2 linked regions of the Arabidopsis thaliana genome follow. The protein of the gene in region 2 interacts with the protein of the main gene of each other region in a pairwise test. Each region holds a gene or a part of one and is shown on either strand. Other genes may lie near its edges.

The links.
Region 1: the proteins of CHX9 (region 2) and PIP2;5 interact in a protein complementation assay, tested with the Arabidopsis thaliana proteins (one large-scale study listed by BioGRID).

The regions. Positions count from the first base shown.
Region 1 is NC_003074.8:20,298,508-20,306,425, reverse strand, and holds PIP2;5 (plasma membrane intrinsic protein 2;5), read right to left. Parts: upstream 4,668-7,918; 5' UTR 4,310-4,667; coding exon 4,006-4,309; intron 3,889-4,005; coding exon 3,593-3,888; intron 3,038-3,592; coding exon 2,897-3,037; intron 2,808-2,896; coding exon 2,688-2,807; 3' UTR 2,117-2,687; downstream 1-2,116. UniProt on the Arabidopsis thaliana protein: Aquaporins facilitate the transport of water and small neutral solutes across cell membranes.
Region 2 is NC_003076.8:7,659,100-7,667,243, forward strand, and holds CHX9 (cation/H+ exchanger 9), read right to left. Parts: upstream 4,731-8,144; coding exon 4,482-4,730; intron 4,377-4,481; coding exon 3,901-4,376; intron 3,603-3,900; coding exon 3,053-3,602; intron 2,956-3,052; coding exon 1,828-2,955; downstream 1-1,827. Other genes in the region: CHX3 (cation/H+ exchanger 3), read left to right, coding at 1-769; AT5G22920 (CHY-type/CTCHY-type/RING-type Zinc finger protein), read left to right, coding at 6,044-6,120, 6,217-6,304, 6,432-6,491, 6,577-6,609, 6,695-6,772, 6,850-6,893, 6,999-7,039, 7,126-7,208 and 4 more. UniProt on the Arabidopsis thaliana protein: May operate as a cation/H(+) antiporter.

The DNA of each region.
Region 1 (7,918 bases), on a different chromosome or scaffold from region 2:
GCAGTGTAAGTATGATACTACAGCATCTCCGGGTTTGCTTCAGCCATTACCTATTCCTAATGCGATTTGGTCTGACATATCTATGGATTTTATTGATGGTCTGCCTATTTCTTTTGGGAAATCTGTGATCTTGGTGGTGGTTGATCGTTTAACTAAAGCTGCTCATTTCATTGCATTGAGTCATCCTTATTCTGCCTTGACAGTAGCACAAGCATTCATGGATAATATATTCAAGCTTCATGGGTTGCCTAATTCTATTGTCAGTGACAGGGATTCAGTGTTTTTAAGTGAGTTTTGGAGAGAATTGTTCACATTACAGGGTGTGGCTCTCAATTACTCAAGCGCATATCACCCTCAAAGTGATGGACAGACAGAGGTGGTGAATAGGTGTTTGGAGACATATTTACGATGTATGACTAGTGACAGACCGGGTTTGTGGAGCAGATGGTTGCCTCTCGCTGAGTTTTGGTACAATACAAGCTTTCATTCTTCAGCTAACATGTCACCTTATGAAGCTGTTTATGGTCAACCCCCTCCGCAGCATTTGCCTTATGTTCCGGGCGAGTCCAAAGTGGCTGTGGTGGCTCAGAACTTACAAGAGCGGGAGAAGATGTTATTGATTTTGAAGTTTCATCTCTTACGAGCTCAGCACAGGATGTTGCAGTCTGCTAACAAGAAGAGATCTGATAGAAGCTTTCAGATTGGTGACTTTGTCTTTGTGAAACTTCAGCCCCATCGTCAAGGTTCTGTGGTGATGAGATCGAATCAGAAACTGGCGCCTAAGTATTATGGACCTTATAAGATTCTGGATACATGTGGAAAGGTGGCTTACAAACTAGCTCTGCCTGACATTTCTCGCATTCATCCAGTTTTCCATGTTTCTCAACTGAAGTTGTGGGTGGGAGAGTCTTCAGTTGGTAAGCAATTGCCTTCGGTGTTGTTGGATGTGTTGCTTAAGGAACCTGCGCGTATTCTGAAGAGGAAGCTAGTGAATCGCCACGGTCGTGCAGCTACAAAGGTTCTGGTTCAATGGACGAATGAGGATGAGGCGGAGGCAACTTGGGAGTTCTTGTTTGACCTGTTGCAGAAGTATCCTACATTCAACCATGAGGTCATGGTTGCTTAAGGAGGGAGGATTTGATACAGGATATTGAGTAAGGCCACGTGGACGGCTGTGATTAGAAGATCAATGGACGGTTGTGATTCAAATCAAGTGTGCGTAGAGCTGAAGCTAATAAATATCAAGTGTCATCGTCATTTTCATGTTATCGTTGAAGTTGTTGTTATTCCTTTCTCTCTGAAAACATTCCGAGATTCATCCTCTGCATAGAACGTCGATTCTTGCGAGGTGAATCCAGAAATCCCTTGTTTTATGAACATTGGGTTTCATTTGTTATTTACATCGTAATAATAAGTAATCGGAGTTGTAGATGATTGCTTTGGTTGATTGATTGTGTTGTGGTGTGGTTTTACTGTATTAGTGTGACTACAAATTAAATTTATTAAAGCATATAGACACATTCAATATCTTCTTTGCGTAGAAATTTTGGCAAACGGATATAATTGTATATCGTTGTAGATGTCCTGCACACTTGCCTCCATCAATCTGCAAATTTCCTAATAAATTCCAGTAGTTGGGACTCGAACCTCATACATCTTCATGTAGAAGCATTAATGAACTACTGATCAATTATTGGGCCAAAAGAGCTTCCACACAGTACTTTATAGTTTATACATATATTCTGCATAATAACAATTTGGTTAAAAAAGAAAAGAAAAGAAAAAAGAAAAAAAAAAAAAGAAATTGGTTACAAAAATTATCTTTCGTAATACTGGAAACGAAAAGTAAAATGTGTATGATGATGATTTCTTGTATTTCATATGAAAGATGATTAAAAATATTATTATTAATGATTTTTTAAAATAATTTTTTTATGTTAAGAGACATGTCTTATAACTAACAAAAATCTCTTATATAAAAGATTTTAAATCATTTTGTTAGTTATAAAATTTTTATAAAGATGGTCTAAAACCTTACTTTTGAACATGATGCTAGTTTGAAATCTAGAGATTAGATTTCTCCATAGATTTCTGCGAAACTAAACTTATTTTCGTCATGATGTGTTTCAAAAATGCGCATGAAACACAAAAGTTGTAAAAGCTTTCTTTATGAAGAGGTTGATGGCCACTTTATTTGACCTCTCGATGAGTCTTTTCCATCACCGTCCAATCCACTCACTACACTATGCCAATAACATCAAATGAGATTACTTTCCAAACTACAAGGAACCACAACATAGTTCGATTGAAACTTGGAAGGTAATCTGATAATCTCATTGATGTGGAACCACACTATTCCACTTTCACATGTAAATTTATACTTTCATGTGTAATTTAAAGAAATACTCGGGACTTACGTTGATCATATATAAGGAATATTTAGTACTAATAAATAGAGCAATCTTAATAGTCAAGGAGTAGAGACATAGATTTAATCATAGAAGTAGCAATTCAAAGTTGGCCCGCAAGCGACACTTCAAAATATCTCTCCTCACCAAAGCTAGAAATTAGATACTAGTACTACACGTCACTTGGCTCCAACCGTCTACACAAGATAAAATTACAAGCCTCTCTTATTATCTTCTCTTTTTCTCTCTTTGATGTACTCAGGGAAGAGCATATCAAAGTTAAACGTGAGGCTGGCTCCTGAAAGACCCGAGCGCCTTAATCGCACCAGCCCTCAACACAAACTGATGGTAGAAAGCTGCGATGGCTGCACCAGCAAACGGACCCACCCAGAATATCCACTGTAGTAATTATAGAAAACACTAATAAATTGAAAACCTTGGTAATATCAAAAACGAAGAAGTAAAATATATGATATAGTATAACGTACATGATGGTCCCAAGCTTTGTCCTTGTTGTAGATGATTGCAGCTCCGAGACTTCTTGCAGGGTTGATACCAGTGCCCGTGATTGGGATTGTAGCTAAGTGAACGATGAACACTGCAAATCCAATTGGCAATGGAGCCAATACCTTCAATCACCACACCATCACCACCAACAACAAAAAATAATGAAATGTTACTAATCACGAGACAAATAGTACAGTCCAGAATAATATTCATATAGTTATGTTTGGGAGTAGTATACGTGGTTACAAATGGAGTTGGGACCATGTCCAAATAAAGGACATATGTTATGGAGAGAGACATGAAAGACAAAAAAAAGTTTAAGATCATCGATGTCCTTTATGCATTTTATTATAATGACGAATCTAGAAGCTACAGTCGCAATATATCCGTGATATATTGTACGGTCTATTTTATTTTTTCTTAATTCGATTCTAAATATGAATTTCGAATTTAAATTTTGATTTTAGTAAAAACAAAATTGTCAACAAGCATACAATTTCTACGGCTAAATCTTTATGATAAGTAGAGCGCCGTATAGGACACGGGTATGCTACTGTTTCCATTAATGCGATGAATTTCTAAATTATCTAACCATGACTAAACCTCTCTCTGTTGTAACATAATCATGTCACATTCTTTTAAAATAAATAATCTTAAGGGGAAAATAATAGGCTTACAGGAACGTGAGAGTCACGCGCACTCCTCTTGGGATCAGTGGCAGAGAAGACGGTGTAGACTAAGACGAATGTACCAATGATCTCGGCTGCAACACCGGTGCCGATGCTGTAACCGTCAGAGAGACCATTTGCGCCACCACCGTAGCGGGTGAAGTAAGCAGACTGGAAGGCCTTGACCAAAGCCACACCACAAATGGCACCGAGGCACTGAGCCACCATGTACATCACTGCTCTCACCAACGTCACTTTCCGAGCCAACAACAGCCCAAAAGTCACTGCCGGATTAATATGCCCACCTGTTTCATTAAAATACGTTGAACCAAAACATTTATGTGAGCTTTAACACCAAACCAAACTACGTTTGAATTTTATTACAAATGAGCGATGTAAAAAGAGAAAGAGAGAGATCAGACCAGAGATGCCGGCGGTGCAGTAGACGAGGATGAAGATCATGCCACCAAAGGCCCATGCGATACCAAGGACGCCAACGCCTGTACACTGGTCAGGATTCAGGGCTGGATCGGTCTGGCTCTTGTAACCGATGACAGTCATAATAGTGACATAGAGGAAAAGGAGAGTGGCTATGAACTCAGCGATGAGAGCTCTGTAGAAAGACCACTTCCCAAGCTCAGTAGCGTCGAATAGAGGTTCAGGTGGTGGGTCTTGATAGTCTTTCCCGGAGAAAGATCTCTTATCACCAACCACTTCCTTCGTCATTGTCTTCTTATTCTTCACCAAACTTAAGAGTATGTGTCTCTGTTATCTTAAGATATATTCGAAAGTGAGAGAGAGATATGAGAGAATTGATGTGGTAAGATGGTGAGTCGGTGAAGGGTATTTATGGGCAGATGTGACGAGGCTTTGGACTCTGTTTTTACTTTAATTTTTGTTGGTTTGGTTGTTGTTGTTGTTGTTGTTAATGATCATTTTACATGGGTTTTTTTTAAGGTTTTGGAATGATGGCAACCGACTACGGTGATTAATTTTCTGTAGAATGACTGATTTAATTCATTATTTATGTTTTAGTGTCTTGTGGAGCGGAGAAACAATGTTTTCGCTAATGCTTAAATTTTTTGAATTTATTTGCTCGTAAAATACATGTGTCATACATTAAGTTAAACAAATATTTGACGGGAATTATTAGTGTGGTCGCAATATTCAAGCTATCCATTCATTACAATCATGGGCTCAAAGCCGACTCTTTGACAATGGGGTTAAAAAATGTTGTAAAGGAGAAAATAAGATAGCAAAGGGCCGGCTTGAGAATCCAAAATAATAATTCGACGTATAACATGTATTCATCATTGCTCATTATGAAAACCGAATAAGGTTTTGAGTTCTTGAAAATTTAGCGATTCATAAGGAATTTTTTTCATTGATTTATAATTATTTTATAAAAGTAATATAACATTTGTTGGTTACATGTATTTAATCCATTATCTGTAGCTCTGTTGGTATTACTACTATAAGACCTTCCAAAAAAGCACGTAAACTAGTTGTTTTGTTCTGATCCCGAGACATGGAAGAGTATGGACAAAGACAAAATCTAGGTAAATATATTTTGTAAGTTTTAACATAAGAATCTCATAATAGGTGGATAGTAGAGTCGGCACTCAACAAACGAAATATGAATACAGTGAGATGAGAGGCCACAAAATTTTACTACTTTCATTTTCAGCGACTCACTTTAGAGTTTGGATTTGGATTTATCAATAGAAGGTATATGTTATTTATTGATAGTTGCACAACAAAAGGAACTAGTACCAAACCCTAAATAATACAGAGTTTTCCAATTAGCTGTTTCCAAAAAAGTTGTGTACTCTATAAATAGGTGGACCAAGTATTTGAGAGCTTCATGCCGACTATTTAGTTGATATATATAGATAAAAAGGAGCTTCTAGAATCTTAAATATTGGGTATTCATTCAAATTAGCATGCCCTCTTCCACTTTTCAACTTTTAGAATCTTGGTATAGACCACTGTAACATTTACTGTTTTCATTGTTGATCACTGGTTTGAAGTGACAAACAAAGGAAAACCAGTTCTTAATCTCGGAAATTACATAAATTTTGGCTAAATGTCTTCTCTGAATAGAAGAAGATGAATATGACAACACAAAAGTGATGGTAAATAACGAAGAAAGTGCACATGTTCAAAACTAGGGAGGATGGCAGTGGGGTAAAGGTTGGTTGTTGTTCTCTTTCACCGACTCAACTTGACTTTGCAGCTTTGCCTTGTTCTGTTTTTGTTTCTAATGTTTTTCTTCTTGCCAACAAAATGTCCTTTATTTTAACTTTGAACATTATTGTAGTCATTTTTTTCCCTACATTAATATTTTGCACTATTAACTTTAACTTTCTTAATAGTGATCTTCTGTTTTTTTTGCCGTCCACTCTCGTCAGCACCAAAACTAACTTAGTGCTTTGTTTATTTCTTTTGAATTGTTAAAACCAATTTGCTCCTAATTTATCAATCAGTGTGTGTGATAATCTGTTAATTTATTCCTCTTTTACTAAGTAGTTGATTTAAAAAAGGGTTTTTGATCTGTTGCCGTGAATGTCCAGTTGCCCACTTTATGTTTCACATTTTTCCTTTTTACGTTAAAATGTTAATCGGAAATGTAAATCCAACTTTCCCCTCTTTGATTTTGGATTATCCAAATAATTCTTTTTGTAAAGTAATTAAATAAACTTTGGTAGTTTGTCATTGTAGCAAATAAGTTGATTCCAAAGCATAAAAATTGTATACCACTGGATCTCTGTGGCGTGTCTTTCTTATACCTTTAGTATGCCAAACAGCAATGGTCTAAACATAAATTAGGAAAATTGTAATGATGTGACAAAAAAATAATATTTTTACTACTTTATCTTTTATTTTAATTATTACAAGATATTGTTTTGTAACAGTACTATGTAGTAATGTTTTACCTCCACCGCTCCACGACCACTTTAGTTACACAATTTTTTCCTCGCGATCAAGTTTAGGTTTTTTCTCGTGCAGTGGTGGTCTATTCTGATACCAATAGGCAGGCAATAGGGTTGTTAGGAGAATGAGGAATACAAAGAAAATGTATAAACAAAAACTAGAGCATAGACAAAACAGTAAAGAAGAACATTACGTGGGCTGATACTGGGCCTAGTAGTATTTAACCCAGCCCCTGACAACCAAGACAAAAGTGTTGGGTCTTGATTCCCGAGTGATGATTTGTGTCAATTGTATTGAGTGAAAGTGACAAGGAGAAGAGAAGGTATGATCAAGCAAACAACTCAAGGGTTTGATTGATTTTCTAAGACAGGTAAATTCGGCAAAGTAGTTGAATTCGTCTCACTTTTTTCATGAGTTAGGGGAGTCTCGGATTTTGACATATGTAAGTCTACTTTGAACTCAAAAAAAGATAAAAAAAAAAGATATGTCTATCATAAATATATCTTATGTGTTAGGCCAAGACCCAACTCGACCAGTGAACATATCCAGTAAGAAAATGACATAATTAAAAGACAAAAGAGAAAGAAAGAAAAAATTGTTCGGTGAAATCATCAAAATCGTGAATGAAGTAAGATATGTTGTCCAATCGAGTTGGTTATTAGTGCATCGACGAATACGAAAATATCATTGTTTTATCTGACGACTCTTAAGTCCTCTTTATGGTTTGAAAATAACAACATGGCTACATGAGGACGAAAGTTAAATACTAAAATCATTCGTTCATATTGTTTTATCATTGTTCAGCAAATTTAATATGCTGAAAAAATTAGTTTCAATAATTATGAAAGAAAAAGAAAATGAGTGAGTTTTGAAAGAAAGGTAGTTAAATTAAGAAACACTCTTACTTTAAATTGGCATCATAGATGGGTGGATTTACATAAAAGCTAGTTTGTGAAGTCCTTGTTAGAAAAAGATATAGTGGTTGTTACTCTATCTCTCATCTCCATTTAATTTTACATTATTGCTTGTATCATAAAACACTGATTTAAACTCGCCACTAACTCTAACTTAACCATAAAAACTTTCATAAACTAGAAACCTTTTTAATCTATTTTAGACTTGAATCAGCCAGTAATATTACTATGTCATGTTAGACATGTATTTAGCTTGTCGGCAAAACAAAAACAAAAATGTAATTAGCAATGTCTAGTTTCAATGGTAAGAAAACCATTTAATAATTAACAATTTATAACATTGGATTTTAACAAAAACAAAAAAAAAGAATCCTTTAGCTAAACAAATCAACTACAAAAAAAAAAAGAAAAAAAAAGAGAATCCTCACAATAAAAATACAAAGAATTGAAAGAACAAAAGAAGAAGAGGAAGATTTAATGTAATACT
Region 2 (8,144 bases):
GTTTCGTAAAGATTTCTATGGTTCGGTCTTCGTAAGCACCTACACGGCTTTATCTATGCCCGATACGATGCACGGAGATATATGTATGCTTGCTCTCAACAACACTACTTCTCTCATACTCCTTCCTTTTCACCAGACTTGGTCTGCTGACGGATCAGCTCTTATCTCTAACAATAACATGATCCGGAACCTTAACAAGAGCGTTCTCGACGTGGCACCTTGTTCTGTCGGAGTCTTTGTATACCGAAGCAGTTCCGGACGGAAAAACATCAGTTCCGGACGGAAAACCATCAATGGCACAGTTCCAAACTTATCATCTTACAATATTTGTATGATCTTCCTAGGCGGTAAAGACGATAGAGAAGCAGTGACACTTGCTACACGAATGGCCCGTGACCCAAGGATCAATATAACCATTGTTCGACTGATCACTACCGATGAGAAAGCACGAGAGAACACGGTGTGGGATAAAATGCTTGACGATGAACTTCTTAGAGACGTGAAAAGCAATACATTAGTAGACATTTTCTACTCGGAGAAAGCGATTGAAGACGCGGCTGAAACATCGAGTTTGCTAAGATCGATGGTAAGCGATTTCGATATGTTCATAGTGGGAAGAGGGAACGGAAGGACGAGTGTGTTCACAGAAGGGCTTGAGGAATGGAGTGAGTTTAAGGAGCTTGGTATTATTGGAGATTTATTGACTTCACAGGATTTTAATTGCCAAGCTTCTGTTTTGGTTATACAACAACAACAGCTAATGATTTAGGTTCTTATATACGTACATAATCATTTTGCAATTTTACCATTCTTTTCATTATAGACTTAGAAATTTAATTGTAAGAAGAATATTTTTTTTGTAAATTTTATTTAGACCATTCAAATGTAACTTTTTGGAAAATCCACTTAGCCGATCAGTTCATCACAAATATAATCGCATAAGGTTTTGCGATCAACAACTATATTAATCTTTATATTTATAGAAAATCATGTTTATATTAACACTAAAACAACATAGAGGGAAATAGAGAAACTGGTCAAGATCGAACATATTTATTTAGGTTAAAATAGTTTGAAATTTCATGTTGAACAATGTAAGAAATCGAAGTAAAATACAAGACATTTTCACTTATTTTTCGATCAGTTTCACTGAAACCTTTGTTGTGCTTGAGCTCGGATGAACAATGGAGATATCTCACGTTTGAATTTTTCTCTTACATAATCTGTGTTTTAGAAATCATTGGATATTCATAGGAGTGGTTATAGAACTACATTGTGCACATTACTCGTATTTTTTTTCATTAAAGCTCAGGTGAAATTTTCAATTTTGTTATTTATTTATTATTATTATTATTATTTTTTTAATTTTTTAATTTTTTAGCAGTAGTGTTTGCTTCAACAAAGCGCCAAGATTTAGATATTTGGAATAATTCTGTGCAAATTAACTGTGCTAAGTAGTACGAAATGGATTATTTGCATACATTTAAAATACAATTTTAATGAACACTAAATTTAGATAAATCAATAATTAACTGGCTTATCAATGTATTCCAACTGCGTCAAACTCATCTTTGTATACTATGTTAGAGCAGAACAACTCATCTCTCAAAAATACCGGATTATTGATTTGATATATACTATTTTAGGAACAATATATGCATGAGTTTCTTACTCAAAAACAATTTGGTAATGAATGGATTAACCAATGTTGTTTAGATCAATTATATTAAATCTATTTCCACGTCAAATGTAAATTCTAACATTTACCCATGATGCGAGTATAATTCAATTTTTTTTTTTGAGATCATTCACTGACATATGTTACACTCATCCATGTTGTTGTTGTTGTTGAACTACTAAAACAGAAACCCTAGCTCTTAAATCTTTGGATGCAAGCAAATCTCCGATGACTCCTAACTCCGGAAGCTCCATCCACTGTGCCAACCCTGTTAAGTCCAGCGAATAATCTTCGTGATCTCTTCCTACAATCATCAAATCATGGTCTTCCGCCACCAATCTAACGGTGGTGGCCACCGCAGGTCCACCGTTGACTACCTTCTCCATATAGTTAAAATTGTTGGCCAATGAATATGTCGCTTTCAAATCATTCAAGACCTCGTCGTCAACAAGGTAATCCCAATTCTTGGACTTATCTAGTTCTTGACCAGACAAAAATCTGATAACAGTAAGACACACTCTCGAGTTCTGTCCCATCCATTTCGCAAGGGAAAGCGCCTCACGATCATCTTTACCACCAATGAAGATCACACCAACGTTAATGATACTGTTGGTCTTTTTCTTACCTTTATTATATCCTCGGTAGTTAAGTATGCCGACAGAACATGGAGCGAGGTCAAGGAGAGATTCATTAACACGTCTGATCATAATATCGTCTGATTCATATTCTCCATCGGGTGACCATTTTCGTCCCGAAGGGACAATGATCATCGATGTGAGGTGGTCTAAAGCAAGATTGCAAATGTCTTGATCCATTAGGTTCTCATGAGAATAAGCTGTGAAGGAACTAACAGTGGTAGATTCCCAATTCTCTTGTTGAAACTCGGTGAACGCGAGCATCATTGTTTGTATGTAAGAGTTTTGAAGCAACCGCGCTTTAGACCGCTTGTCATGAGGTATCAAGATGGGAAACGTACGTCCTGCGAGTTTCACTAGGTGTAACGCCGTGACAGCAATGACTCCTCTGTCTTTGTTATCGTTGTTTAGCGGCGAGGAAAGCAATTCAAGTAGCGAGATCGCACCTGAGATGTTGTCAGGCTTGTGCAAACAAGTTAGAATCTTGAGATCTGAGTTTGTTTTAAGATGCATAATGTCTCTCTTGACATATCCAATATACTTCCTCTTTGGATCATATAGTGCTTTTATAATCGTAGGCAAAATCCCCGCGTTCAATAGCACGTAAATAATCATGACCGTGTACGTTGCTCGCGACAAATTCTGTTAAAGAAAACAAAAAACATTCAACCATTAATTCAAAACCATATGATGCAATATATATACATGTAGAGTGTAGGTTAGATGAAGATTATTTTACCCTTCTTCTTAAGGCGACATCGAAGAAGCATAAGTCAACAAAACCCTTATAGTTCATGATAGTGGCGATGATAACGGATTCTCTAGTAGGTAACTCGCAGAAGATCAAGCAAGGTACAAAAGAGGCAGTCCATTTCACTACCACTGTAAGACCCAGTAGAAGTATGTTAAAGGAAATGTCATCGAACGAATACAATGCTCTTACAACGTCAGCTTTCATCGCCATGACCGCGATTGAAATAGGGAAAAATATGTTTGTAACCAAGCTCTCGAACCTTGCCTCTAACGCAGATCCCAGAGGCGGACCGTCTGGGATTGCCAACCCCACCAATAAAGCTCCTAGAATGTACATTTGGTTGAAAACACTTAAGTATATACTCGCGGCGATTGCGGTCAGGATTGTTACGTATAAGTAGACTTTCGGTACGGGCTTGCCTTCTGGGGTCATGTCCACTATTCGTTGTGCCATTGGCTTGAAGATGAATAGGATCACAAGGACTAAGATGATCAATGCCACTATGTCGCGGTTGGCTATTCCGGGCGATACATACCTGCAGACCGTTTCAAACTATTATAGCAAATAATGTTCGTTAGATAGTAGATATACATTACTAATCAAACACTCCGGTGCCGTCTATTGTGTAGATAACAATTAGTATTGCTTTATAGACAATAAAACGGTAACTTTTCGTTGATCAAACTTTTAACCAGTTTTAGAGCATTATATATATTGCTTTAGGTCTCCGGATTTGTAGACTTTGATTACTACAAAAGTATATTTAATGAGGTAAGTAGTTTTGTATGCAAATGCACCAATTAGATTCCTAAATTAATCGACGTCTTACATACCTGTATGTTCCAACGTAGGAGATGCATACTAGAGTGAGAAATCCAAGGAAATCGCTGACGGCGGCTGTAGATATGGCGATGCGGCCGAGCTCGGAGTTTGACATCTTCAGCTCATATACGAGGTGGGTTATGACCGGTAACAGCGTTACTGCTTGAATCGATACAATCACGGAGCGTTCTGTTGGGGCTAGCCTCAGAGGCATATAAAGAGGGTCGACCTTGTCGAGACGGAAGTTTCTGAAGGCTAACCCGCTGATCATAGTCACGAAAAAGGACGAAACCGCGATTACTATCGGACGTTTACCGATTTGATACACCGCTCTCTTGTTGGTCTTCACGCCCATTAAGAACGTGAACATTACCAACCCAAGCCTGGCCACACCTTCCAACGCTACGTTTCCGGGGATGTCTAACGATAATCGGTCCGATGAATACTCCAGAAGATCAAGCAGCTGAGGTCCAAGAATCAAACCAGCCTAGTTCAAAAAAAAAAAAAAATTGTTACTTGCAGTACAAGAAACCAAGCGTTTGGTACTTGCGATACAAGAAATTGACAGTTGTGGACGTTTTTCTTAACTTACAAGTATGTTGGAGACGAACCGTGGTATGCCAATACGTCTGAGGAACATATGAGATAAGACGATGCAAACGAAGATGAGAATGATCTGCAGCTCAAGGAGAGGCAATGCATATCCGAAGATAACAGTAGGAGTTTCATATTTTTCCATGATTCCATAAGAAGAGATGTTGAAAAAAGTAGCTCCGTAACAAATTTCAGCTTTGCTATGAGGCGGTGAAGGCCCAGGAACTAGTGCTTGAGAATCGGTCATGATGATGACGAAGATATGCTTTTGTCAAACTTGTAAAAGATCGATTTCGTTTTTTTTCGCTGATAATTTATTCTTAACGTCAAAATATTCAACAACGTAACGGTTTGTTTTAAAAAAAAAACAGTTGCTGTTGTTTATCAAATAGTTGGCGCCCCCCTTTGACTAGTACTTTTTGGTTGCGAAATAATTTTGTTACGTTTTGGTCAAACTTATCAACAAATAAATGATGATACTTAGGCACTCTAATCCTTTCCTAAAACTTGACCATTTTGGTTGACCAAAAAAAGAAAAAGAAACTAACCCATTTTACCAAATACTTATTTTATAACAAACCCAAAAGATAAGCCCAATCTAAGCCCATTGAAGATCAAATATTGAGTTGACACTACCTACTAATCTAACTCAAGAACTTAGCCCACAACTTTAACACTACTAATATCAAACTTCAAAAAAAAAAAAAAGTATTCCATAGTGTGTTTTAGTAGAATTTATAAAAGAGTGGACCCAAAAAATTGAGTCATCAAGTTGGAGGACATATCCATTATCCAATCCTATCCTGTTTTCTGCTTTTTAAAAACAAGACATGACATATTGACATTGACCCACACACCACAAAAATTTGTTCTTAATGACCCGCCAAGTCGCCAACTGAATTGAATCTTAAACCGAGTGTTTCATATGTTATTAACTTTCACTTAGTACATTAAACTTTTTCTAATAGAATATAAAAAAATAACTTTCTTTTTAATGCATAATTACAAGTAAGATATTTTTTTTAACAAAAGTCCGACAACGAATCTCTTTTCACTTTTCATTTTCAATTTTTTTTACCTCTAGTTTTCTCATTAATGTTGATGAAATTTGGCTCTGACTAATTAACTATTATGTATTTTATTTAAAATTAACTATTATGTAATTTTTTATTATTTAAAATTATGTATTCTGCTAATGAATTCCAATTAGGAGTAAACCATAAACAAGTGGAAAAATATTTCTGTTTATTAAGAAGAAAATTTATATTTAGCAAAAAAAACAAAAACGTTAAAACCTTTTTAATAATGAGTATGGGATTTGTTGATTAGGCAAAATAAAAAATCTGGCGTGTTGCTGAGTCATCACTCATCTTCATATAAATAAATATCATCAACATGATTGCTTTTTCATCTCTGCAACTTCCTCTGTTTCTGATTACCAAACGTCGTCAATACATTTCTTCAAATTACGTTTCTTTTATTCTTTCGTTACTCTCAACAAATTTTGATATCTGATTGGTGTTGATTCCAAGTAAGAAAGATCAAAACTTTAGGTAAAGTATGGATATGGGTTTCCATGAAAATGAGCAAAATCAAGAATTTGCGAATCTAATGGAGATTGGATCTGGGCATTACGGGTAAATAACATCTTTTGAGTTTCTTTTGAGTTTTGAAGCTAAAGTTTCATTTTTTTTTTTTTTTGAATTTGATTATCCTTGTGTGTGTGTGTTTAGGTGTTCACATTATAGAAGACGATGCAAGATTAGAGCACCATGTTGTGATGAGATTTTTGATTGCAGACATTGCCACAACGAAGCTAAGGTAGAAAACTAATATTAAAGGAATAGTCTTTTTACTTCTCTGTCTTTGTAACTTGTGTGTGTGTGTGTGTTTTTGTGAAGAACAAGTTTTGGTTATAGATGTTAATGTGTTTTGTTTGTTTCAACAGGATTCTCTTCATATTGAACAGCATCATAGACATGAGCTTCCTCGACATGAAGTTTCAAAGGTTTTTAACTTTGAACATTCTGGTTTATGAACATTTTGATTCTGTTTATTCATTGTGATAACAATTTTGGTCTACTTTTTTTCAGGTCATATGCTCGCTTTGTGAGACAGAACAAGACGTGAGTATCTACATTTTAGATATACAAATTCTATTGGTAAATATGTTTATTGATGTAGAAGAGACCTGTAATTTGTTTTCTTCAGGTTCAGCAAAACTGCTCCAATTGTGGTGTATGTATGGGGAAGTACTTCTGTTCAAAATGCAAGTTCTTCGACGATGATGTAAGTTTTGTAATTGAGTTATTGCTCTTTCTATAGCTGGAATTAGTAGTAATGAGACTTAATATTGGTTGTTTCAGCTTTCCAAGAAGCAATATCACTGTGATGAGTGTGGGATTTGCAGGTATAGAAACTGGCATTGTGATTTTTGCTTACCTATTCAAAAAAGAATCTGTTGATTTTTGGTAACTAATTATTGATATGTTATCTCATGATGTTGGTTTAATAGGACCGGAGGAGAAGAAAACTTTTTCCATTGCAAAAGATGCCGTAAGAGACAAAACCTCATGTTCTTGTTTCTACAAATTCTCGTGCCTTTCTTTGTTTGGAGATCTTATTTTGTTTTCTTAAAACAGGATGTTGCTACTCCAAAATTATGGAGGACAAACACCAATGTGTTGAAGGCGCTATGCATCACAATTGCCCGGTTTGTTTTGAGGTATAAGAATCAGATTCACCCATTTCTTAATGCAACATAATGGTTTCTTACAATTGAACTTGATGTGGATGTATTTGTTCTCAGTATCTGTTTGATTCAACAAGAGATATCACTGTCCTACGATGTGGTCACACTATGCATCTAGAATGCACGAAAGATATGGGGCTACATAACCGGTAAAAGAACTCTCAAATCTTTTATGCAACCCATGAATGAAGTCATTGATAAACAAAGATTAAAAAAATTCTTGATGCTTTGTGTAGATACACATGCCCTGTATGCTCCAAATCCATATGTGACATGTCTAATCTGTGGAAGAAACTTGATGAAGAGGTGAGGTTTCTTGATCTGATGTTCGGTCTCCTTGTATAGTCTCTTATGTTTCACTAAGTCTTACATTCAAAATTTTGCAGGTTGCTGCATACCCAATGCCAAAGATGTATGAAAACAAGATGGTAAACCAAAATTAAATTCGATATTTGATTCTCGTGTGTGTGTGTGTGTTTGTGTTATGTACACTTTCTGATTTGGATTTAAATGTGATGTGTTGAGTCAGGTATGGATTCTCTGCAATGACTGCGGCTCAAACACGAACGTTCGGTTTCATTTGATCGCGCATAAATGCAGTAGCTGTGGTTCCTACAATACAAGACAGACACAGAGAGGCTCTGATAGTCACTCTTGCTCCTCTGGAATGCCTCAGGTTGTTGGTTCAACCGGTTAATTTTTAACCAGAGCTGGTTTTGGTGTCTGAATTTCCCATGAGGAGATTATTTGTACTTTCTATAGTTTGGTATCAGTCAATGCCTTTGGTTGTTAACAATTATATCATCACAGATTCAAAAGCTGCTTTGAGCCAATCCAACTTGCAAGTCTAGACCATTATAGCCCAAAACAACCATATCTTGAAATAAATTATATATATTAATGTTTAAA